Linked DNA regions of Coturnix japonica. The main gene of each other region encodes a partner of the protein of the gene in region 5 in a complex. Links are inferred from orthologs where the notes say so. Each region holds a gene or a part of one and is shown on either strand. Other genes may lie near its edges. The genes, in order: DPM2, PIGP, PIGC, PIGA, PIGQ and PIGH.

Region 1 (3,887 bases), on a different chromosome or scaffold from region 5:
TGGTTCCTACTCTTTGACAGTGATGGCACTGACAGGCACAGCAAGTGGAGCTCAGGGATCCACACACACACAGCACAGGGCTGCATTCCATGGCTGCAGACCCCACAATGTGCCTGGGCTGGGGGCACAGCGCTGTGTGCTGAGAAGGAATTCATGCTCAGAGCCGTGACCTTCAGCTGGAGCAGCCACCTCCCATCACAGCAACAGGGATATTTATAGGGGCGCTGCCCTTTGCAGCATAGCAGCCTGTGCTCATCCCACACCAGGAGCTGGATGCACAACTGGGGCCCTGTGGCAGCCCTGGGCAGGCAGCGGGAGCTGCCCCCTCCTGTATTTCTCCAGGAATAAAGCTCTGCACAGCTGCAATTGGGACAGGGTGATGGACTGGCCCTAGAAATCAAGGTCCTTCAGTACAATGGGGGGCTGTGTTCCCTGCAGGGGTGAGGGGTGGCTGGGGAATGAGGCTGGAGCTGCAGCTCTGCACTTGACATGGAAGAACAAAGAGCTCAGAGAACTTTATTGAGGATGAATGCAGCTCACTATAGCCACCAGGAGCTCAGGGCTGACCCAGTGCAGGCAGGAGCCCAGACTGCAGCTGACATTCATTGGTAAGGGAGCTAAATGCTTCCTCTGCCACCCAGGTCATGCTGCATCCTCAGTGGGGTGACTGTAGGAGGGGAGGTGGGTGCAGCTCACAGGGCCCTCATCAGAAACGAGAGCTCACAGCACCATCATTAGCTCTTCCAGTTTAAAAGAAAATCCCAGAAGGAATAAACTACCGTATGCAGCAAAGAGGGGAAAGAGTATCCAGAGGCCGAGCAGCTGCTGGGGGCCAGAACTGAACTCACACTCTGCAATTAGAGCTGCTGGATCCCAGCCCAGCAAAGCTGCTGCACGTAGTCTCAGCTGGGGTGCACATTTGTCCAGCTGGAGCTCTGGTCCCTCTCCTGGTGAGTCCCACGGGTCAGATTTGCTTCCCTTTAGTCTGTAAGTTGTAAACTACACAAGTCTGTGTCTTTTGAGGAAGGAATGTGGGAGAAAGAGCAGCCACTTGGCACTGCTGCTGCTTTGAGTGCTCTGGAGGAGGAGGCTGCTTGGTGCTGCAGGCTGGGGGCCTTCTCTCCATCTCTCAGCTGGGCCTTCAGTCTGATTTCCGGGCAGGTTTTCTGCTCTTCCACATCACAACCATTATAAAAACACCTACCAGGAATGAGAGAGAACAGACTCAACCCGAAAATTTCAAATGAAAAGCACCATTAAAACACACACAGCGAATAATGGAACCTCAGCAGAGCACAAGAAACAGTTCTAATTCTCATAGGAATAAACAGCTGAAGTTACACGTGTGTGCGCACAAACGCCTGTGCCAAATTAAGCCACTGCAGGGACCACATACAGCACAAGTGTCTCTTTTCTCTTCCTAATTTAGAAGCCTCTAATTAGAGCGACCAGAATAATACTCACCTATAAATAGCAGCAGCAGCAGCCCAGCCACCACGGGGATGATAACGGCGTACTCCCTGGGCAAGAAGTATTGGTGGATGCTGTGCTCACTGTCAATGAAGGGCTGCAGAAACAGAGCAGGGGATTAACAACATGAGAGCAAGTCACCAACACGTGCAGCTGTGGGGTTTCAAAAGCAGAACAGAAACATGGGGCTGGAGGGGACGGCTAAAAAAAGAGTGTCTGAACCTGCAGGTGGTGGAGAATCACAGAATGACCCGGGTTGGAAGGGACCTCAAGGATCATGTAGTTCCAACCCCCTGCCTGACAGGGCCACCAAACATACGCCTTTACTAGATCAGGTTGCCCAGGGCCCCGTCCAAACTGGCCTTGAACACCTCCAAGGACGGGGCATCCACAACCTCCCTGGGCAGCCTGTTCCAGGGCCTCACCACTCTCCTAGTGCAGAACTTCCCCCTGACATCCAACCTCTGTCACATGGATCCTTTCATGGCTGGGACACTTTGGATGCTACAGTGCATTGCAATGACTCCTGCACTGTATGAACCCGACCCTACAGCTGGGAGCACATCAAGGGGGGGAACCCAAGTCCTCCAGCAGCAGCAGGTTTGAGCCCAGTTCCCTCCATAGAGGAGCATTGAGTGGAGCACCGAGTGCACACCCAGCTCCTGCAGCTCCTAAACGAGGCCTGCAGGCCCGACCATCCCAGGGCCCAAACCCAGCGCCATCCCCTCACCAGCACGATGATCCACAGCGTGTAGTACACGAACAGCACGAGGCTGAAGGCCACCAAACCGAACCCGACCGCCTGGTCCGTCGCTGTAGCCTGTAAAGGGACAGAGAGTCAGGGCTGCAGACAGTCAGGGCTCCGTGTGGGCGGCAGGGCCGGGTACAGACGGGACGGGCCGTAGGCCGCAGCCTCACTCACCATGGCGACGGCCACCACACGGCACTTCCGCCCTCCCCGTTCTTCCGGGAGCGATCGACCAACCAGCGAGCAGAACACTGGCCACGTGTTCTCCGAAACAGGAAGAGCGCTCAGAGCGCAAAGTATTGTGGGAAGGGCTTAAGAGCGCAAAGCATTGTGGGAAAGCACGAGTCACCCGGTGCATGATGGGAATTGTAGTTCCCGAGGTGCTCGGAAGAGCTGCGGGGCCTAGTGGTGAGGCCTACAGCAATTAGTCGATATTTAGGGCAAAAATACCCCAATTGTGAGAACCATGCAGCAATTAGCCGATATTTGGGGCAAAAAACACCCATTTGTGAGAACTATGCAGCAATTAGCTGATATTTAGGGCAAAAAAACCCCATTTGTGAGAGCCCTGCAGCAATTAGCCGATATTTAGGGTAAAAAATGCTGCAGGGCTCTCACAACTGGGGTAATTAGCTGATATTTAGGGCAACCCCCCCCCATAAAATACTTAGAACCACAAAAAGACCACAACCAAACCAGGAAAATCGGTGTGAAGTACCAAAAAAACAACCTTTATTTCCCCCGAACCCAATAAACAACGTCTGCCATGATATTGATTTCCTCATATATTTGTTATTTCTCTACGTTAGGAACCAGATACAGAAGATACAAACACGGCCTGTTGGATCGATGACGGCACAGCGGCCTGACAAGAAACAAGACCCAAACCAGACAGAAATGGTGCAAAACAAGCCCTGCCCGCCAGCCCCGAGCTGCCACCATCACCATTACACACAGCAGTGGAGCAGCGTTTCTTTCTAAACACCTTTTTGCTTTAAGAAAGGAAAGAAAAAGTTAAAGAGATTTATTAAGATTTCAAAGTAAAAACCAACCGACCAACTCAGAGCCCACCACCATTACTTTGCTCTCTTCTAACGATGGTGGATGTTTGCATAGAGCCGTTCCCTTTCCAAAAATATCAGCCATCTCTCTATAGAATCTGATATAAATCGAGTTTCCAAACGTCACCCGGCTCAACAACCCTCACGAAAATAAAGCAGGATCTCCCCTTCCCTCCCCCCCACCACAAAAATACGGGCTCTGCCATTTAATCCTTAGGGTTGAGGCAAAGTGAATAGGCTCAGCCACACCTCGAGCTCGAAGCTTTACCCCATGTTCCTCTCATCCCCCATCAGCCCATTGGGAGGAAAAGGGGGGGATAAATCTACATGGACCCCCCCCCAATGCATCCAGGAAGTGGTTTTGCAGCACAAACACTTGCTACCAGGCAGTGTTTGCTGTAACTCACCCCTGGGGACCAGCCTTGTCCACAGGGCTCAGTCACCAGGGTATTATTCAGCTAAAGCACAGGAGGGGTGAGGGAAGGGCTGAGGGGGGTGGGGGGTGAGTTTGCAGCCCCCAGGTAAGGCAGTGAGGGGAGGGCAAGGCAGCCCCTCTCCAGGAGGGGTTTTCTTTCACCTCGGTGCTCTAGCGTACCTGGAGTGAGGTT
Region 2 (4,249 bases), on a different chromosome or scaffold from region 5:
TTCCAAACAGAGCAAGACCAACATCCCACCTGCCATACAAACTCTTGGGTTGGCACTAAATGAGAGGACGATATGAGAGGGATGTACACATCCCTGGATACATACCTAAGACTTGTTTCTCTAAGGTTGTCTGCTCTGCTAATATGGTACACTTTAGCAGTTGGAAATAACTGCCATAAGGTAACAAAGAAGCAGAAGTCAGCTTTTAGGATCTTTTCACTCTGGTCCTCAAGTATTTCCCAAGAACTTCTTTTCTATGTTAAAATATTTGAAAGCTTAAAATTTGATTTATATTATGTCTACATATGTGTATTTACAGAAATTATCAGTTAAATATAAAAATCTTAGAAAAAAAACAAGAAATACCCCACAAAAAAAAAAAAAATTACCTGTAATAGTATGCGTGGAGTTAAGTGGAGCTGTACTCATCATGTTAATACCAAAAAGTAATACATAACCAATTCCTACAGCAACTAATAAATACGCTGGCAAAGCAACTGCCCAGTACCTGAGGAAAAAGATTTTAAAGTTCATATATTTTCTAGTAACAAATGTCTAATGATGTAACAGTTTTAATGTAGTGGCTATTTTATCTAATATTTTATCTAATACTAGCTTTACCTATGGGCAAAGAAACAACACTACTACGTATGGATCATGGTTTCCCCCAGGAAGATACCTGACTGCAAAAACCAGTGTAACTACTTTGGCATAAACCATCAAGTAGATTCATTTACAGTTAGTTTCTATTTTTTATATTTATAGTTTAAAGGCTACTTTATGTTATTTGACAAACTCTCTGAAAGGAAAAATTCAAATTTATCATAAAACATCAAAATACCACCATCCCTCCCAAGACACAATGAGAAATGTTTATCTTAAATGCTTATCCACATAAAATAATGTTTGACAAACATTACATTCCTTTAGAATCAGAAAAAAACAGACATATTTTAGGAACAGTTTCCCAATTTCTTATCTGGAAATCATTACACATATCCAGGATTAACAGTTTGAGGCTGATCTTAAGAAATTAAGTTTGAGCTTACTTTTGAGGCCAGTATGTCAGTCCCAATGAGAAGAGCCAAGTCTCAGGGATGTACGCCCAGATAAGATACAGCACTGCACAGAAGAATAAAAAGAATCACAGCAGTTCAAACAATACCATTTTAGACTTCCTTCTTAAGTTCTTAGAGCAATACTCTCATACTTGGACATACTGAAACTACTTGGTTTTAGCAGAATTTAAACAAAAATAGCTCTACTAAAATATGGTAGAATACACCTCAGAAAAATCTTGTCTAGCATGAGGATAACATCCACTTATACAATAACACTTCTGTACTCTGGAAATACTTCCTGACTCCCCTACAAAGACAGCCTGAGAACTGGAGCTGTTCAGCCTGGAGAAGGCTCTGGGGAGACTTAAGAGTGGCCTTTCAGTCTCTGAAGGGGATCTGTAAAAAAGAAGGGGACAGATTCTTTAGGGTCTGTTGTGATGGGACAACGGGAAATGGTTTCAAACTAAAAGAGGGGAGATTTAGATTGGATATAAGAAAGAAGTTTGTTACAAAAAGGGTGGTGAAGCACTGGCACAGGTTTCCCAGGGAGGTGGTGGACACCCCATCCCTGCAGACACTCAAGGTCAGGCTGTATGGGGGCTCTGAGCACCTGATGAAGCCGTGGGTGTCCATGCTCACTGCAGGGGTTGGATTCGACAACCTTTAAGGGCTCCTTCCAACTCAAGTAAGCCTATGATACCCACTTGTATGGGAATTTGGTACTCACAGCCTGAACCACTGATTAATCAGCTGAGGCAAGTGTTGGGTCAGCTGTAGGAACACAGGTGAGAGTAATTTATCTGTGCTCCTGGAAGGGATGGAGCTTGACTCCACCTCCTCTAGACCTCATTTAAGGGCTGACCACCACTAAGGCAGCATCTCTTGGATGTTGCCTCAGCATTTCCCAGTGAAGGTATATTGGTGAGTTTTTCCTCATAAATAGCCTTTTGAATATCTGTCACCATCTCTGTAGCATTCTACCATACACCACTCCTCTCCACAATGGTTACTAAGCAGTGGCAATATACACAATTCAGATATAAGATTTACTAAAACTAGACTGCAGAGAGTTTTAAATTAGGTTTTATCCATGTTACTACAAAAGACAGCATATTGTAAAAGAAAGACAAAACACATTAGAATCACAGAAGGTAATGAATCAGCCCACAGGTTTGGGAAGTAATGCTGACTCCTCCACTGCACCTCCTTACACCGGGCAGTTCAACACTAAAATCACCCTTCCGAGATGGTTTAGTTAGAATTACATTTACCCTATAAGCAAAGTAACAGATTTCAGTAGCCAGCATACTTACTAAAGCCAAACCAAGATCCCAAAAACAGAGCAAATCCATATATTGCCCTTTCAGGCAGCGGGGCTGGAGAGTTCTCCACCATTATTCACTGCTCCTTCCCTCTAACTCAGGGAAGAAACAAACAACGGTAAGAAGAGGTCAGAAGGCTCTCTCAGAGCTGTGTTACGAGCAAGGGACAGGAGATCTGGCAGCCCGGCTACCAGGCGGCTACCCCAAGCACCGCTGCCATAAGGACAGCCACTACCCCAAGCACCGCTGCCATAAGGACAGCCACTGTGAAGAGGACAACGCCGCCATCACACACGCACCAGGCTGGCTACAGGTGACGGCCCTATACAGCCTGACTGACCGCGGCCATACAGTCCTCTACCCTCCCGACCCGGAAGGTACAGGAGGAACAACACCAGCCTCTCTCTTCACCCTGGATATCGCGAGTCTATGGGTCTCCTCCGCTCATGCGCAGTCACAGATAGGCAGCTTTCGCTCGCAGACTCGCAACAGCCCGAGGTTGTGCGGTTCAGTGAGCTTCAGCGCTGAGCTCAGGGCGGGTGGGTGCTCGGTCGGTCTTTTCTGAGGGCTGGTGAGTGCTTAAAGCGTCGGGTGCGACCCTTCCATCCCTGCCTCCCTCCTGTGCCTCTTTCCTTGCAGCAGGAGGGAAGGGCGATCGCCATCTCCCCGCAGCCCCCGGCTGGATGATGCCTGGGGTGGGACCGGCGCTGTGGGGCCGCTCTGCGACACGTCAGTAGGAGCCGCGGGGCTTCCGGGTGGCGGCTGTCAGAGGAGCTGCCGGGCAGGGCGGGACGAGGGGCTCGGAGGCTGAAGGATGTGATGGGTAGAAATAACACAGGTCTTCAGTGAAACTCTTGTAGGGATCTGGATGAGTCCTCTTAAATATGGGTTGTTTGCCTCTGGGCTCCCTCCTCACTGTATTTCTTTTCATCGTTATCTTTCAGGATCTCGAATCATGGGTGAACCTTTGTCTGACTCTGAGTTTGCGGCCTTGGCTGTCAGTGCTGGTTATAAGTCCTGCTGTGAATTGGTGAGTGGGTTTGGAATTCCATTGGGATTTCATAAAATCATAGAGTGGCTTAGGTTGGATCTCACAGCCCACCCAGCCCAACCCCAGCCATGGGCAGGGCTGCCCCCCACCAGCTCAGGCTGCCCAGGGCCCCATCCAACCTGGCCTTGAGCACCTCCAGGGATGGGGCACCACAGCTTCTATGGGCAGCTGTGCCAGCGCCTCACTGCCCTCAGTACAGATAAAGTGACTTTCTGATTTGTAAAGCTGTATCAGGTTTGGGGCTTAGGAAAAGGTGGTAGGGCCCTGGAACAAGCTCACCAGGACATGGCACCAAGTCTGAGGGAGTTTGTGGAGCATCTGGACAAACTCTCAGCCATAGGGTTTGAGTTTTGGGTGGTACTCTGTGGAGCCTGGGCTTGGATTCAGTGATCTTTTTGTGGATCTGACTCATGATATTCTATGATTCTATGACCTGTACTAGGGACCATTAGTAGTAGTGTGTCGCATTCAATTTGTTTATATCACTGAAGATATTTTCTATGCTATGCGCAGAATACAATACTTCAACAGTTGTGTTAATATTCTAAACACTCTTTAAAGGAATGTATGTTCTATGCTATACCTTCAGTATCTTCATTGATGACCTGGATGAGGGCACTGAGTGCTCCCTCAGTAAGTTTGCAGATGACACCAAGTTGGCTGTAAGTGTTGATCTGCCTGGGGGTAGCGAGGCCCTTTGGAGGGATCTGGACAGGCTGGGTAGCTGGGCTGAAGCCAATGGGATGATGAGGTTCAACAAAACCAAATGCTGGGTCCTGCACTTCAACCATGAGAACGCCAGGCAGCACTACTGG
Region 3 (3,664 bases), on a different chromosome or scaffold from region 5:
GTGGCTTCCTGGTGTGGTCCTATTTGATCCTAAGGGATGCTCACAGGTTGTTACCCTGAGATGGAGCAGTGAGCCATCCCCTCACTCTGAACACAAACCTGTCCCCGCAGTTACATTTGCCCCCAAGCAGCCCCCCACGCCTGCATGATTTTGTACTGTTTCTGCTTTGCAGGGAAGAAATGACCCTCATCTGGGTGTGCGGCCACACTGAGGGTGGTGGGAAGCTCTCCTGGGCAGATGGGGAGGGGACTGCAACTGGTGATGTTTGGCAGGGACTGCGTGACCCTGTGTGGGAGAGTGACTGCTTTCATCTCTGGCCAGCCGGCCCTCATCTACAGCCTTGATGCTTGGCATAGGTAGACTGTGGCACGGTCCCAGAGCTCCTAAAGTCCTGATGCACTTGTGCTTGGGCAGAGGTAATTCTAGGGTGTCCAGAGGGGCCTCCACATGCTTCTGCATCCCAGCATAGGGATAGACCTATCATGGAGACCTGTTTTCCTCCCTGTGTGCTACAGATGTGCCACGTACAGTGTGGGCTGAGCTGAAGTAACCTGGGCAGCTGACTCTTGGCTTCCTCACACCAGGCGCTGCCCAGCTCACAGCTGGCAGGGCACAGCTTTGGCATCATTCTTGGAGGCAATTTCCTAGGGACTGCAAAAGAAAAAAAAAAAATCATAAAGAAAAGCTAATGAAAAAGCAAAAGCTTTCCCACCACCATCACTGCACAGACATCTACAGAACAGGAACCAGTTGTCCCTTGCCCTCAAGCTGACTGAGAATCCCAGCAGTTCCACCTTGTTCTTCTCTCATCATGGCTGCCAGGGGAGTTTGGCAACCCAGGAGCTCTGAATCCTTTGGTATTCAAACACCTCCAGCAGAGGCCTAGATCAGTCACAGCTATTTAAATCCCAGCCTGTCACCTTTTCCAGCATGGCTTCCAAACAGCTTTTAGCAGCATATTGCAGCGCAGGAGCCCTGCAGGAAATAAACACGTCTGCAGTGGGGTCAGTTGTGCAACACACTGGCGAGCAGTGAGCTCTGAGTGGGTCTGAAATGCAGGTGGGGTGGGTGGGGAAGCAGTCAGGTCCCCCAGAGCTGAGGTTATGGCAACAAGTGCTTCACAGTGCTGACTGTGGGGCAGGATGGGTAGCATGGGTAGCAGCACCCAGTGTTTCACTGTATGAGGGCTGGGCCAGTCTGGGGTCCACATCCCACCCCTGCAGCTGGTGAGGGAGATCTTGTTGCATGGGATGAAGACACACACGAAGCAGTTCTCATCCTTGACCTCAGGCACCACTCGGGTGTGACGGACCGTCCCTCTCCCAGCTGCTCTGCTGTCCCTGCCAAGGCCACGTCACCTCGGGTGGGCTGAGGGGTGACTGCACAGCACGTGTTCCCTCGACTGGCAGGGACAGGCGGTGACGTGGCCGGTCCCATAGTCACAGGTCTGCTGTGCAGGTGATTCATTCCCCGCAGAGCCTAGGAGACCTGGAGGGCTGAGCTGCCCTTTAGACCTCGGGCAGAGAGTTGTCCAGCGGGGCACGAATGCACCATGGCAGCAATAGGTGCCGCATCTCCCCATTGCCGAGGCGCTGCGGTCACTCACAGCAGTCCCAGGGGCAGGCGCCCCATCGTGCTGTGATGCAGCTGCAGGCAGCAGTGGGCGGTGAGCCGAGAGGAACGCGAGCAGGAAGCAGCGTCAGTGCACGATGGGTGGCAGGGGGAGCCCATCGCTCCCGGCTCACCCCGAAGAGTTAACTACATGTTGTCGGCTCGGAAGCGACCTTATTCCCCAACAAGTACGAGACCGATTACAGTCACCTGCCCGCACACCGCCACTCCCGGCCCTTCTCCTACCGGCTCCGGCCCCGGAGGCAGCGACACCCGCGGGCAGCGCCGCGCTGTGCGGCCGGGCAGCTCCGCCAGGGGGCGGCTCCGAGAGCCCCGGCGTCCATTGCGCCGCGCCGGGCCCGGCGGAAGCGGCGGGAGCGGGGAGCGGGGCGGCGGGTTGGGAGCGGGGAGGGGGGGGTGCGCCCCGTCCTCGCGGCTGGAGCTCACATCGCGGTTAACCCGCACCTCGCTCTTTCCCAGGGCCCTGAGAGCAGCCCCAGGCTGTGAGCGGAGGAGCGGGGCGCTGTGCCGGCCTCCTCTGGGCCGGCCCTGGGAGGATGGTCTGTGCGCAGGTAGAGACGAGCCCGAGGCGGTGCTGGCAGAAGGTGCTGTACGAGCGGCAGCCCTTCCCCGATAACTACGTGGACCAGCGGTTCCTGGAAGAGCTGCGGAAGAACATCCACGCCCGGCAGTACCAGTACTGGAATGTGGTCTTCGAGTCGGGGGTGGTGGTGCAGCAGCTCTGCAGCGTGTGCGTCTTCGTTGTGACCTGGTGGTACATGGACGCCGGGGTGCTGAGCCCGCAGGGGCTGTTTGGGGCGGCCCTGCTCACTTCTCTGCTTGGCTACATCCTCTTTGATGCCATCGACGCCGGGGTCGGGCGGCAGGAGAGCGGGCGGACGCGGTGGGCAGACCTGAAAAGCACGCTGGTGTTCACTGCCTTCACCTACGGCTTCTCACCGGTGCTGAAGACGCTGACAGAGTCCATCAGCACAGACACCATCTATGCCATGTCAGCCTTCATGCTCCTCGGCCACCTCATATTCTTCAACTACGGTGCCAACGCCGCCATCGTGTCCAGCACGCTGTCCCTCAACATGGCCATCTTTGCCTCGGTGTGCCTGGCCTCCCGCCTGCCTCGCTCCCTCCACACCTTCGTCATGGTCACCTTCGCCATGCAGATCTTCGCCCTCTGGCCCATGCTGCAGAAGAAGCTGAAGGCCCAGACACCGTACTGCTACGTGGGGGTGACGGTGCTGTTCGCACTGCTGGCCCTTGTGGGGCTGGCGAGCGTCTCCAGCGTGGGTGCTGTGCTCTTTGCCTCACTGCTGCTCTCCATCTCCTGCCTCTGCCCTTATTGCCTCATCCGGCTCCAGCTGCTCAAGGACAACATCCACGGGCCGTGGGATGAGGCTGAAATCAAGGAGGACCTGTCCAGGTTCCTCATGTAGGCCTGGCCAGGGGGAAGCAGTGCCCTCTGCTGTGAGGGGCCTCTTTGGGACACAGCTCCAAGGGGACACCTAATCCAATAAAGACTCGCGCTCTAGCAGGGAGTGCATCTGTGTGTGTTGTGACTGCGCTGGGCTGTGGGTGAGCAGGGAGGTGCTGGCAGACCCATGGCAGTATTTTTGTCCAGCCACCGAACCAGAGGCACAAAGCAAAGTCTCTCTGCTTTCCTGTGGTGGCCGCCCAGCCGCAGGGTGCTGCAGCTGTAATGGGAGCCATGCTGGTCCTTCCTGGAACAGTCCAGTGTCTGATTCCATGCACCCCACAACAGAGGGTCCTCTAAGCCAAAAAGTCAAACTGGAGGGCATCTCCAGATGAGCCAGCCCTGCTGTGCTGTTGTTTTCCAGAGGCAAGTGGTTCAGCAGAGCATGAACTTGGCCAAAGTTGCAGCACCCCAGGCTTTTTGGTCTCACCAGAGCCTTCCTGGTGCTGGGCAGGAGGCCGGAATTCAGGGGCACTCACAGACCTGAGTACACTCACACATATCTTGCATGCACAGCCACACTGCCATGTCCATCCGCATACAGCAGCATCTCTGCAGACTGTG
Region 4 (4,247 bases), on a different chromosome or scaffold from region 5:
AGAAGCACCTATAAACATAGGTGTCTTATCAGCATTGTTTTTCTCCTAGAAACAAAACATAACATCATACCAGACACTCTGAAGAAAGCAATTCCGTCCCAGGTGAAACTAAGATACATATATACTGGAAAATGAGTTCCAATGGTGCGTACACATAGAGAGAGAAGCAACACAGACACCTTAGTTCCATTTTCTCTAAAACTTGATCAACAATAAAGAAATACAAGACCCTCTTGCTTTTATTCCAAAGAAAGTTGGTGGAGAAGGAGTTGCCTCTTTTTGTTTCATGAGCAACCACCTTCATAATACTACTGTCTGATCCTTCTAGCACTTCACAAGAACACAGCTTCACAGAATTAATAACAAAGATTCATTTCCCTTTCTCTGTTTAGATACATTATCTGAATTTTCAGTGCGAGGCGTGACCAATGTCAAAGTCTAAGGTAAAAAAAAGAAGTGTATATACTTAGAATAGCAAAGATCAAAGACCATCAGTTTGAAGAGACACTGTGAAACCAGAAGAAAGAAAAACACAACTAACAAACAAGTATCTTACATAGCAGAGAGGAGCAGATGAAATAATTACTGACTGAGGTACTGGAAAATCAAGAACCTGGTATTTGCTGTATAAAAAAAACTATATACAACAACAAAGAAATATTCACAGACATGACAGAAACATTTGGTAACATTTAATCCAAGGAACATGTCTGCAGCACCACAGGAAGACATAGTAAATAAGTCCTGGCCTGAAGAGTTTCAGACTGAAATTAGAAAAGTTAAAAATAAAGTAAAGCAACGGTTTATTATTTATTTATTTATTATTTATAAACGGTTATTTAAACAAAATAAAGTAAAGCAACGGTAAAGAGGAAGCTTCCAGAATTACTAGCAATGATTCTCACAGATACCATCAACATGAAGTAGCCATCTAACAGTTCTTGCCACGTAGTGATACTACAAGTACATTAAGAGTGTGATAAATTCAGATTTTCTCTGACACAAGACAAGGTTCACATCAGGTGAACTTGCAAGATCACAGTCCAACTCTGGAAGTTCTCAGCACTTGGTCTTTCTACCTTGCCTTTGGTAGTTCTCATCTTCTCTAGTTTTTGAGGGAAGGGGGCAGGGAGCTGCTGTCTTTCCCACCTCTTAAGTACAGTGATTATAAACATGCTCAGAACAAACCTGTCATGTAGCTGGTATCTTTCCCGCACTTCTTCGAGTACAATTCGTTTTGGTCCTTCTCCTCCGACTAGGAAATGTAACTCTGGATACTTCTGACAGAGCTCAGGAATTATACCACTAAGCAAATCTATACCTAAGAACATAAAATATAAGGCAAGATGTTATTGTATTGGATATTAGAAGTTATACCACCAAGAAAATCTAGACTTAGGAGCAACAAAATGTAGAACAAGCCATTACTGTATTTGGTATCAGCACTCATCATGACGTAGCCTGCTGCTATATTCCCCACTGTCTTATCATTATTTGCCCATGTACAAAGATGCTCTCCCTCCTGTTTATAAGCTCCCCTCACGTTGAGAGGCCACAATGAGGTTGCCCCAGAAGCCTTCTCTTCTCTAGGTTGAACAAGCCCAGCTCCCTCAGCCTTTCTTCATAGGAGAGGTGCTCCAGCCCTTTAAGCATCCTCATGGTCTCCCCGGCCCTAATCCAAAAGCTCCACACCTTTCTTGTGCTGCAGGCCCCATACCCAGATGCGGTAAGGTAGTAAAGTAATAGAAGCCAAGCTTTGCACTTTATGAATTTCAGTTTACAAATCTCAGTATCACAAAAAAAATACACCTCTAAATCCAACATGCGCAAATGGGAGTGATATATACAATGGACATTTTTTGCTACCTTTTCTGTAAACAAGCCTGCTGACCACCACAATCGTTACGGTGCTGTCATCCCTCCTGGATGGGTCTGGGGTGAAATCAGTGGGATCCACAGCATTAGGGATGACGGAGACGATGCGGGGGTCCAACGCCGCTCGCAGCACCGTGTTCTCCTTACTGGTGTAGGAGACGCAGATGATGTGGTTGGTATCGCACAGGGACACGGTCAGAAGTTTGTTGGTGAGCACCGAGCTGACGTCCGCAAAGCCAAAGAGCGAGTGGTCAGTGAACACGGTGCGCAGCCCCATGGTCTTGGCATGGAAGAGCGCGTCGTGCGCCATGGCTGAGAAGGAGCTGTGGGCATGGACGATGGTGACACGCTCCCGCACAAAGATGTACCTGAGCAGAGGCAAGCTGTGGAACAGCGTGGTGGCTGTGGACTGGTTGTACATCACCCTGAGGGGCAGGTAATACACCTTCAGCCCGTTGGTCAGGTAGCGGACGCCCTTACGGCTGCCGTAGGCGTGGGTGACCACCAGTACCTTGTGGCCACGCTCGATGAGGCACTGCGACAGCTGATAGATGTGGCTCTCCACGCCGCCCATATTGGGGTAGAAGAAGTCCGACACCATGCAGACGCTCTGCGCTCTCCCTGCCCCCATCCTCCCACAGGGGCAACGACGAGGTGCCATCACTCTCTCCCGGCCGCCCTCCGGACCCCAGCGGGCCCCTCGCCGTGGCTGGGCCCGGCCATGTCCCAAGCACAGGCCGCACTGCCGGAGGGGCACGCAGCCGCCGCGGGCCCTTCAGGAGAGCGCTCACCTCCAGCAGCCGCCACCCGCCTGGCAGGGGGGGCCGCGCACGTACCTGCCGCCCGCCGCCGCTCGCTGGGCGCTGCCCGCCGCCTTCCCATATCCGGGCACGGCCGCGTCACCGCGGTAACAGCGAGGCTGCCTCGCCCGGCCCCCGCCGCCCAGCCTCGGCCAATCGCCGCCCGCTGTCGAGTCACGACCAATCGAAGTCGGTGGGAAGGGCTGAGGGAGAGGAGGTGGCGGTTTCGTTTCTTCCGTTGTTCACCTTGTGTGTGAGGAGTCGCCGCCCCGCAGTGACTCCGCTCTGGAACCGCTTACGCAGTCGTTATCCAGGCAGGGCACCGAGGTGTCTCGGAGCAGATAGGTTAGCCATTGAGATGGGGAGGATCTTGAGCTGCAGGCCTCACCGCAGCCATTCTTAGGGTACACTGACCTCATTGCAGCCTTTCAGTACCTGAAGGGAACTTACACCCAGGAGGGGAGTAAACTCTTCGAAAGGGCTGACAGTAGCAGGACTAGGGGAAATGGTTTTAAGTTGAAAGCGGGAAGATTTAGGTTGGATGTTAGGGGGAAGTTCTTCACTAGGAGAGTGGTTAGGCCCTGGAACAGGCTGCCCAGGGAGGCTGTGGATGCCCCGTCCTTGGAGGTGTTCAAGACCAGGTTGGATGGGGCCCTGGGCAACCTGATCTAGTAAATGTGTATGTTTGGTGGCCCTGCCAGGCAGGGGGGTTGGAACAATGTGATCCTTGAGGTCCCTTCCAACCCGGGTCATTCTGTGATTCTGTGATAGATGGGCAGCAGGATGCTGGCATCACTTGGCTGAGCCTTTCTGATCTTACCCCAGTGAGCTTTGGAATCAGCAGACACCAGTTCAAGCTTGTCCATTGCTGGCTGCCAAGACTGGATGTTATCACAGCAAGCTAGAGCTGTTCATGACTTCGTTGTATGTTCCCAATGTTTTCTTTGGCAGCTGCTTCTCCTTGCAAAGATTTCTGGTATGAATTTTGTCAGGTTCAATTCTATCATCTCTCCTATGTGAATATCTAGAGCATGAGCTGACCTAGGCCACAGTGCTGGTTGGGTTAAAGCTTGGACAGCCATTGTTTGGAGGTGCTGACTGCAAGAAAGAATAAGGGAAAAAAAAATCAGCTGACGTGTTGGTGTGTTGAATGAGCCATTGCTCATTGTTTGAGTCTTTTCCAGTGTTGAGCAAGGTGAGGCCGGTATTGGTACATCTGACATCATCATGTAATGCTCCTCCTGGGTGAAACACCTGGTGGGAACCTGAATTTCAAGATATCATCGAGCTGTGAAAAGAGCCAGGGGAGCTGGAGGCCATAGGGATCCTAATTCTCAGCAGAAACTGGAGTCTGGATATAAGAAGTTTGCCTTAAATAAAATCCAAGAAAAAAAAACAAAAACACCAAAACAACAAAGTTGTATAGAACAAGGAAGAAAGCGCTTTGAGGTTCTCATGTGCAGCACCCTGTAATGTGATCCCTGGCAAGTTATGGTAGTAACCTGCTTTGGGGTCAGGCTGAAACACAATGTTGAAATGTTCCTTGAACATCTCCAGGGTTGGTGACTCCAC
Region 5 (4,172 bases):
CTCAGTGCCTCCCCAGGAAATCAACCAACCCACACCTCCACGTGTCCAAGGGTTTCTGCCTTGTGCTTTCAGCATTGCTCCCCATGCTTTCAGAGCAGCTCTGCAACAGCCTGCTTCCAACAGCAGGTTTATCCGGGAGATTCTCAGCCTGCTGTTGCCCACAGAACCCAACATCCATCAGACTGATCCAGAACCAGCTATGGTTAGAGAGGAGCTGTGCTGCAGCTCACATCACCTGTCACCAGGAGCCCATCCTTTTGCACACCAGTGATCTCAGAGATCAGAAAAGTATCAGCCTCTTGGCTGTCTCCAAGGTACGTGAAACTGGAAGCAGTACCAGGAGATGCAACGTGGCTGGTACTGATAGAAACAAGAGTTTTAGCAGGAACCTCATGAAGCACAAATCACATCTCCCCACCAAATGCAAGCAGGCCACAGCTGCAGCACTCACCTGCTGTTGCAGACCCCAGAGACAAGTGAAAGCAGGAATGTCAGCAGCATGCAGGCAGGCACCGAGGCCTGCTTCATCAGCTCCACAATGATACTTGCTTCAACGCCATCTGACTGCCAGTGGGTCATCTTAATGGGCCCATCATCGTATCTGTCTGTCATGAAGAGCACCTTGCTGCTTGCAACTGTGTTAAAGATGGCAGCGAGCTTGGAGGCATCCTCTGCCCCAAGGTCAGCCGTGTCCAAAGGGGGGTGCAGATGGGAAAGCATGACTTTCCGCTGGTCATAATACACTAAGATGATTTCTTCTTCTCTGTGGTTGTCTGACTGTTTCTGAAGGGTAGAACAGTTCCAGAATTTGCTGTCTCCCTCTTTGCTTATCTGAATCCACGGCTCATGAGAGAATATCGTCCCAAGGTCCTCCAAGAACTCACTCAAACTCTCTTCTTTCTCCTGTTTGCTGTTGTTCCACGAGCCGAGCACAGAAATGCCGACCTCAGTCACCTGCTGGACTTCCCTGAGATACTGCTTCACCTGAACAGGAATAAAGGGGAAATGGACCACGGCGAGGATGACAGCAGAGCTCTGCTCTGGGATCCAGCGGCCGATCAAAATGCCGCTTTCTGCCGAGGAGCAGCACGAAGGAAAGAAGACCTTAAGGACCATGCCAGCAATCCTTGGTAACGGGACACCTGCCAGCAGAGACAGAAACAAAACCTGGGATGGTGATTCAATGCAAGGAAAACGTGAGCTGGCCAAAGTCAGCAGCAAGGAGGTCTCCTTTGTCACCCGGAGCTGAGCTCAGTAACAAACACACCCAACAGCCACAACCACAAAGCTCATCCCCTCCTATCAACTAGAAACAAAGACAAGACTGTTTGCTGCAAGCAGGCTGCAACAACTGACTGATTCAAGTTTACCAAGTAGCTTCAATACAATACAATACAATCTTAGATGCAAGATGCCAAAGCAGGAGAGGCATCTCTGCTTTATCAGTGCACTGTATCTGAAGTACTTTCCTTGATGTCATTAAGAAAATATCTCAATGGCTTCATTAAGACTTTTATTAAAAGGAGCTTCAGGGCTGCTGACAACATCCCTTTAAATAAGGTGCAGGTTTCTAACAGAAATCTAATTGCTGTAAGGAGAACACTCGCACAGAACAATCGACATCTGGCACCCGTTGTCCTTTTCTGTCCTTCAGTGCTTTGTTAGAGATGTGAAAACTCCACAGCCCCTCAGGCTGGCTGCTCTGCGAGGGACCCAGTCAGTCGGAAAGAGGAACGCAGTGTATTTATAACATGCACAGAGGATGCACAACGTGCAGGTCCCCGTGGTTTGGTTTCTTTCTTCCCTTTTTAACACTGCACAACTGATGGAGTAAATCTCAGCACTGGGCAGTTTGCAGTGGGATGGATGTGGAATGCATCACTGTGCAGGCAGTGATGCAGCAGCAAAGGCAAGTGGTTAAGCTGCTCCCAAGCCCACAGTCCTGCAAACATGGCTCATGGAGGAGCACAGTGCAGCTCACCCCAGTGCATCCCATCCATCAGGGTGCTCAGGGTGCTGAGCACAGCACCTGCAGGCACTGGGGGCTCCAGCCCATGGGGAGAGCAGCTTTGGGAGCCCACAGTGGGAATGACATCACCATGACCATGGATAACTGCAGAGATGTGGAGCCTGTGAGCACTGTGGGAGAGCCTCAAATAACCTGTATTTTGTCCAAAGGGCTTCAGTTTGGAAAGGGAAAACATAGCAAAAGAAGGGTAGAAAACTGGCAGGTGTGACATCCTGAGACCAGAAAGGTGCAGCACAGCAGGCACAGAAAGGACGAGGGACCTGCAGTCCAACAGGGGAACAGCAACACTAAACCCCAACCAAAAGACCCAAACAGATGGAAAAGCAGGACATCCTGCTCACATCACCAGCAGACGGCGACAGGAGCTGGGGAGGGATGGCTTTAAACTAAACGAGGGATGATTTCGGTGCCCACAGCCACGGGTGGGCCCTGGACAGCTGAGATGGGGGGGGGGCCCTTCCCAGCAAACCCTAACCGTAACCCTAACCGTGCAGGGGACGTGGGAAGGAGCCCCCGGTAAATCCGTTCCTGGGAACCCCGAGCTCTTCCCGCTGCCGTTATTGCCCCCATGCCTGCAGACACAGCACACACGCCATGTACCCGCACCCCACCCGCACCGCACCCCCCCACCATCACCCCCAGCCCCGCTCCGGTCCCGCTCCTCCTACCGCTCCGCACCGCCCGCTTCCGGCTGCCCGCACGCTCCGCCTGCGCACCGCGCTCAGCCCGGCCGGCCCCGCAGCTCCGCGCCCCGCGTTCCGTTGCGGTGCTGGTTCCAGCCCCTCACCCCGCAGCGCTGCCCTCCTCCCACCCTTACAGGGCTGGTATAACCCGCAGCTGCTGCTGAGCCTGCGAGATAAGCAGCGCCAGCGCTCGGTTTCACTATCTCATGTGGCCGCCGTGCTCGGCTCCGGTGCCTCGTGGTGCCTGGCAGCCTCCCGTTGTGCTCTGACCCTGCACGATGGGAAGGGGCACCCACCGGGATGGATGTGCTTACAATGAGGGATAAACGCCTTTGGCAGCTGTAGGGCATAGATTGCAGCACAGAGTGCAGGACACAGCCAGGCTGAGCACCCTAAATTGTCAGCAACAGCCCTGGAGCAGTGGGGCAGCCTGTCCTGCCATGAGATAGAGCAGGAGAGGAAAACACCCTTCCCTCTGCCCTGCTGATAGCGAAGCCCCACGGCTGTGCGAGCAATGGGATGTGCACGTAGGAAACGCGCTCCGTGCAGTAGTTGCTGCTTCCCTGCAGAGGTCAGGAATGCGGCATGGAATTCGTTACCTTGCTTTTAATGGTCTCCTGGAGGGGATCTCAGACTCGGCTCTGTCCTGGCCTTACCCCTCTGGCTGTGCTCTGCGTTGGACATCAGGGTGGCCACAATAAATGGGAGCGTGTGGAAGAGATGTAATTATTTCATTGAAAAGACACACGAGAGGATGGCGATAAGTTTGCAATACACCAACACAAAGTCATTTGTATGGAGCCAGAGTTGGAAGGGACCCACAGGGACCATGGATACCAACCTCCGGCTCCACACAGCACCACCAAAACCCAAACCCTGTGTCTGACAGCTGTGTCCCATTGCCATGGGGGGGCTGTTCCATGCCCACCGCCTTATCTCAGTCCTTTAGCTGCTCTGGTGAATCCAAGAGGTGTAGAGCTGAACCACTGTTGCTGTAATCCTTGTTTCTGCCCTCTGGAAAAGCTGGATGCCAACAATGTGGTTGAATGCAGGGACAACGGGAATACCTTCATTTGTGACCCACCAGTGGACCCAAAGCTCAGCAGGGTTGTGGTGGGACCGGCCCCACTCTGAAGGTTGTCAGAAGGTGCCCAAGGGCTGTCGGGGCCTCACGTGGTACCTGAAGACTTTCACACAGTTCTCACCTGTGTCTGCCACAAAGAGCTGCCCAAAGGGGGAGCAGGCCACGCCAGTTGGCCTCCGCAGCCCTGTGGATACCAGGCAGATGGGAGCTCCGTTCTCTGGGAACAAATGGACAGTGCGGTGCTGCTCGTCTGCCACCACCACGCTGCCTTCCGTGTCCACACACACCCCTGCTGGGTTGCCAAACTGGTGTCTGTATTTGCTGCTGAGGGAGCAGACGAGTTGATGGCTGCTCATGAACACCTTGACGTCTCCAC
Region 6 (4,122 bases), on a different chromosome or scaffold from region 5:
AGGGCATCCCTTGGCTGCATACGCGGAACGCTCCCTACGCGGCCTGATGCTCCTCTGGCTTTTGGGAGCAGCGCACGCCCGCTGCCGAGCGGATGCGGCCCCCGGGAGCCGGGAAGACACGCGGGCTGCGGCAGCGAGCCCTTTGTTTCGGGCATCCCACGAGGTAGCGCCGCTGTTCGGCACGGGAGATGGGCGGCCGGCACGGCGCGGCGCGGCAGCCCCTCACGCAGCCTCCCCCGGCCCCGGCGCAGCACAACGCGCGGCTGAGTCACGCTCCCCCCGATGTGCGCGGGGAAGGGGGAGCCCCGATGGGGGTGGGACGAGTCGGATCGCGGCCCGCGGTGTCTCACCGAGCCCGGCCAGCCGCTCCACCAGCCCCGCGGCGCGGAGAGTAGCGGGGCCGTGGTCCACTCCGCGCCGTTTCTGTCAGACAGAGAAAAAGGGACGCGTTAGCGAGAGCCGCCCGGCTCCAGGCTACAGCCCCCCCCGGCCCGGCCCGGCGCCCACCTGCCCCCTGGAGAGCGGGGCGCCCACCAGCGCCACCGAGTGCGCCCGCCGGGACAGCTGCAGTCCCGCATCCGCCCGCTTGCGGAGGAGCCGCACGAAGCCGCCGCGCAGAGCCATGGTGCAGAAGATGCTCAAACAGCCGATGGTGCCCGATGGTGCCCGATGATGCCGATGGTGCCCAGTGATGCCCACCGCGGTCGCCCCGCTCCTTTTAGCCGGCTCCAGCTCCGCGCGCACCGCCGGGCCCCGCCCCGCCCGCACACCCCCGGGCCGTTGGGCCAATGGCGGCGTGCGTGGCCGGAGGTGTGTCCCGCCCACGGAGCCGCGCGGGGCCCTTAGCGAGACCCGGCCGTGCCGCTGCCGCTGGGGTTTTTCCACTGCCGGGCGGGGTGCGATGCGAGGGGGGACGGCGGGCAGCGCGACGGCACGTCGGCATGTCGGCTGAGGAGCCGTGCTCTGTTAGCAACGCTTCTCCTTGTAAAAAAGCTCAGCCCCAGTCTCTAATATTAGCGCCCCATTTTCAGCCTATACAGGCCTTTTCTTTTCACTGTTTGTACCCCCAGCCATTCGGCCCCCGTTGCCGCCGCTCTTTTGTTCACACGAGGCATCCACGCGGGGATTCTGAAGCTGCCATGAATGCAGGCAGCTGCCCACAGAAAGTTGGTACCGGAGGGGGCAGAGGGGTAAGCGGGGAGCAAAACAGCGGCCCTGCTCCGCCATGGTAAGAGGCGCATACGAGAACAACGCAACCACAGCCCTTAAAGCCACGGCTCCAGCACGGCCCCGCTGACTACCGCAGCTCCGCTCCCCACGCGCACGCGCCGCCCGCCCCTTCCCTTCCGTTCCCTTCCTTCCGTTCGTTGCTGTGTGCACGGGGCGCAGTGCGATGGAGGAGCGGCGGTACCGCTCGGCGTCGGGGGCGCCGCTGTGGCTGCGGTGCCGGCAGCACAGCGCTTCGTGCCGGGAGCTGGCCGTGCGCTGCCCCCGCCTGCAGCTCCGCTCGCTCAGCGCCGTCACCTCCGCCGTGTGGCTGGCGGCCTACGGGCTCTTCGTGCTCTGCCAGGTACCCCCCGCCCCGCTCCGCTCGGCTCGGGCTGATGGGTGTGTGTGGTCTGGAACCCTTTGAAACATACCCCAGAAAGCAGCTGTGGGTTGAAGACCATTAGGCTTCGTTACCAGGTCTTTGGCCGTATAATATACTGTCACTGATGTATACAACTGCATTTGGATGAGATTTCTCCAGTAACTTTACAAGGAAATACAATGTTCTTGCTGGTTTCAGTTTAAAGTCGTTCTTTCAGACCATCCTATAAGGCTGATGTTTGGTGACTTAAATCCCATCACGCACGTATCAGCCAACCTTCTGAATGAATGGACTCCACCTATGTAAAATCACCTTGTAAATGTAGCCACTACGTTATGATTTACCGTTCAGCATTTACTTATATATTGGTCTAAGTTCAATTGGTTTTAAGACTAGAGCTCTGTCTTTGGTTTGTGTTACAGAATAGTATGGTGCTTTCTGCCGCCATATTCCTCACGCTGATCGGCCTCATCATCTACCTGCACTTTGTGAAGATTGACCAGGAATCCCTGCTGGTCATCGGCTCACTTGGCATCCAGGTGACTTCATCCTACGCTTCGGGGAAAGAGAGCACAACCTTCATTGAGATGAGCCAAGTGAAGGACGTGGTTATCAATGAAGCCATCCACATGGTAATCATACTGTCTTTCTTGTATACCTGCAGGCGCACTCACCACTGTGTATATTCACCTAGTGGCTTAGCAGTGCAGTTGAACACAGCAGCATAAATACAAATACATAGACTTGACTGCAGTCTGGAGCGATGGGGAAATGGCAGATGTTCTGCACCAAACTGCTTGCATGGAGGGGAGGGTGGAAAGCTGTAACTTCCATGAAAGGCTGAAGCAGGCAGCTGTGATACCTCTTTAACATGACACCCATAAATCCAGCAGTTTAATGTACCTGAGCCTGGAGTCATCTCCTGCTAAACTTATCCAAAAGAGTTGTTTTGCTGGCAGAGCACTCTGGGAAGTCTTGGAGATTTGCATAGAACTGTATAAAGTTTTCTAGCAAAAGGAAACAAAGGTTTCTCATTATATGCAAGGAGGCAGAAAAGCCTTTGCACTTACTTGTCAGTTTTATGTAAGACTTGGTGGGCTGTGCCACCATCACTGTTGAGTTCAAACAGTTACGGAGAACTGAGGTTGTACACATTGTCACTGATGTGTGTGAAATCATCATAGGTGAAAACAAATCTGTACTAAGTCCCCACAATCTTCAACGTGCTCCAACACTGTGTAACTTCTTAGAAAGGCAAAACAGGTAATTAGTAAAATGCTCTGCATCAAAAAAAAAGCATAAGAGAAAGGCGTTGTCAGCAGGAATGTTTAAATCCTGTGCTGTTGGTTTTTTCCTGTGTATTTTGTTGCTAATATGTTTAGTAATATCTTGAATGTCAGTAACTCAGGTAGATTTGGGTGAAGAATGGCTTTGTGGAAGGGATGGGTTCTCTGAAAACCCACCTGCCACCTGTTCAACTAGAAACAATAAGTTCATGGAGCAAAACCATCCTGCTATTTTTGAGGCTGAACGCAAACAGGAAAAAAGAGAAGGGGACTGATTTCAAGCTGCTTTATTCATAACCTTGTAGCAAGAATATTTACCCTCCTGAAACACAGATGTTTCTGCTGATTTATCTTAATGAAAATGTCATTGAAACACTTGTTTCAACTCACTGGGCTGAACTAATTCCTCTTCCTGTGATGACTCTGGGCACTTTGATAGTGTTTTCAGACTTCAATTATTTTGTCTGTTTGTCTTGTAGCAAAAAGTTATCTATTACCTCTGCATCCTCCTGCGGGACCCCCAGGATCCTCAGGGAGTGTCTGAGGTTGTGCCACTCTTTCAGGTGAGCATGACTGAATAGTGGGGCACTACAAGTATCTATATGTATGTCAGAGGCCTTGTCATACATTTATTTCACCACACGCAGCTGATTATGGCCACCTTTCTTTGACCGCACATTCAAGTTGGATCTTACAGCAGTGTGCTGTGAGCGGTATTCAAGTCTCACAAAGTGAAGCACCAGGGAAGTTTTGTTCATTTATCCTCCATGCAGAGAATAGTGCGCTGCATAAATGTGAACCTGACCAGCAGATTGCAGGAAGTAGAAGTTTTTGGCTCATGGAGGGTAATGAGGACTTGCACAGCTTTCTGTGTGATCTTATGCTCAGCGTAACCTTTATAATTATAGTGCTGTAGTTGATTTTTCTCTTGTTTCTCTGTGCCAAAAAGATTTCATAAAAATTTCCTTGGTTTACAATGGTAACTTCCCCTACATCCGCTGACAAAGATCACAGTACAAGCTGTGAGCAATTTGCTTAATGTATAATAACTTGTTTGTTTTATTCACACCCTGCCTATCTCATGCTCTGCTTTGCTCAGACTCTCACTAACTTGTTTTGGCTGTTCATAATCCTGTTTTGGGGATTAAATTTCTTTCTCTCTTTGTATACCTAACTCAACAATATAAGTGAGGTATTTCATCTATGTCCAAGGGATACCCAACTTGGAGGGCTGCACTTAGGATT

What was found.
Region 1: PIGQ (region 5) and DPM2 share a complex: the UniProt entries of both Homo sapiens proteins name them as parts of the glycosylphosphatidylinositol-N-acetylglucosaminyltransferase (GPI-GnT) complex. The link is inferred for Coturnix japonica from reciprocal best matches to the Homo sapiens genes PIGQ and DPM2.
Region 2: PIGQ (region 5) and PIGP share a complex: the UniProt entries of both Homo sapiens proteins name them as parts of the glycosylphosphatidylinositol-N-acetylglucosaminyltransferase (GPI-GnT) complex. The link is inferred for Coturnix japonica from reciprocal best matches to the Homo sapiens genes PIGQ and PIGP.
Region 3: PIGQ (region 5) and PIGC share a complex: the UniProt entries of both Homo sapiens proteins name them as parts of the glycosylphosphatidylinositol-N-acetylglucosaminyltransferase (GPI-GnT) complex. The link is inferred for Coturnix japonica from reciprocal best matches to the Homo sapiens genes PIGQ and PIGC.
Region 4: PIGQ (region 5) and PIGA share a complex: the UniProt entries of both Homo sapiens proteins name them as parts of the glycosylphosphatidylinositol-N-acetylglucosaminyltransferase (GPI-GnT) complex. The link is inferred for Coturnix japonica from reciprocal best matches to the Homo sapiens genes PIGQ and PIGA.
Region 6: PIGQ (region 5) and PIGH share a complex: the UniProt entries of both Homo sapiens proteins name them as parts of the glycosylphosphatidylinositol-N-acetylglucosaminyltransferase (GPI-GnT) complex. The link is inferred for Coturnix japonica from reciprocal best matches to the Homo sapiens genes PIGQ and PIGH.

What each region holds. Positions count from the first base shown.
Region 1 is NC_029532.1:3,618,070-3,621,956, reverse strand, and holds DPM2 (dolichol phosphate-mannose biosynthesis regulatory protein), read right to left. Parts: upstream 2,494-3,887; 5' UTR 2,396-2,493; coding exon 2,393-2,395; intron 2,291-2,392; coding exon 2,201-2,290; intron 1,568-2,200; coding exon 1,465-1,567; intron 1,201-1,464; coding exon 1,142-1,200; 3' UTR 501-1,141; downstream 1-500. UniProt on the Homo sapiens protein: Regulates the biosynthesis of dolichol phosphate-mannose. Regulatory subunit of the dolichol-phosphate mannose (DPM) synthase complex; essential for the ER localization and stable expression of DPM1.
Region 2 is NC_029516.1:96,314,497-96,318,745, forward strand, and holds the start of PIGP (phosphatidylinositol N-acetylglucosaminyltransferase subunit P), read right to left. Parts: upstream 2,801-4,249; 5' UTR 2,683-2,800; intron 2,476-2,682; 5' UTR 2,457-2,475; coding exon 2,375-2,456; intron 1,123-2,374; coding exon 1,050-1,122; intron 509-1,049; coding exon 390-508; intron 1-389. Other genes in the region: E3 ubiquitin-protein ligase TTC3, read left to right, coding at 3,203-3,221, 3,328-3,413. UniProt on the Homo sapiens protein: Part of the glycosylphosphatidylinositol-N-acetylglucosaminyltransferase (GPI-GnT) complex that catalyzes the transfer of N-acetylglucosamine from UDP-N-acetylglucosamine to phosphatidylinositol and participates in the first step of GPI biosynthesis.
Region 3 is NC_029523.1:7,059,429-7,063,092, reverse strand, and holds PIGC (phosphatidylinositol N-acetylglucosaminyltransferase subunit C), read left to right. Parts: upstream 1-1,471; 5' UTR 1,472-1,799; intron 1,800-2,091; 5' UTR 2,092-2,168; coding exon 2,169-3,062; 3' UTR 3,063-3,164; downstream 3,165-3,664. UniProt on the Homo sapiens protein: Part of the glycosylphosphatidylinositol-N-acetylglucosaminyltransferase (GPI-GnT) complex that catalyzes the transfer of N-acetylglucosamine from UDP-N-acetylglucosamine to phosphatidylinositol and participates in the first step of GPI biosynthesis.
Region 4 is NC_029516.1:109,991,564-109,995,810, reverse strand, and holds the start of PIGA (phosphatidylinositol N-acetylglucosaminyltransferase subunit A), read right to left. Parts: upstream 2,801-4,247; 5' UTR 2,537-2,800; coding exon 1,867-2,536; intron 1,322-1,866; coding exon 1,189-1,321; intron 1-1,188. UniProt on the Homo sapiens protein: Catalytic subunit of the glycosylphosphatidylinositol-N-acetylglucosaminyltransferase (GPI-GnT) complex that catalyzes the transfer of N-acetylglucosamine from UDP-N-acetylglucosamine to phosphatidylinositol and participates in the first step of GPI biosynthesis.
Region 5 is NC_029529.1:11,842,229-11,846,400, reverse strand, and holds the start of PIGQ (phosphatidylinositol N-acetylglucosaminyltransferase subunit Q), read right to left. Parts: upstream 2,801-4,172; 5' UTR 2,698-2,800; intron 1,143-2,697; 5' UTR 1,117-1,142; coding exon 452-1,116; intron 1-451. Other genes in the region: NHLRC4 (NHL-repeat-containing protein 4), read right to left, coding at 3,853-4,172. UniProt on the Homo sapiens protein: Part of the glycosylphosphatidylinositol-N-acetylglucosaminyltransferase (GPI-GnT) complex that catalyzes the transfer of N-acetylglucosamine from UDP-N-acetylglucosamine to phosphatidylinositol and participates in the first step of GPI biosynthesis.
Region 6 is NC_029520.1:27,609,980-27,614,101, forward strand, and holds the start of PIGH (phosphatidylinositol N-acetylglucosaminyltransferase subunit H), read left to right. Parts: upstream 1-1,322; 5' UTR 1,323-1,393; coding exon 1,394-1,570; intron 1,571-2,013; coding exon 2,014-2,223; intron 2,224-3,356; coding exon 3,357-3,440; intron 3,441-4,122. Other genes in the region: ARG2 (arginase-2, mitochondrial), read right to left, coding at 351-423, 508-624. UniProt on the Homo sapiens protein: Part of the glycosylphosphatidylinositol-N-acetylglucosaminyltransferase (GPI-GnT) complex that catalyzes the transfer of N-acetylglucosamine from UDP-N-acetylglucosamine to phosphatidylinositol and participates in the first step of GPI biosynthesis.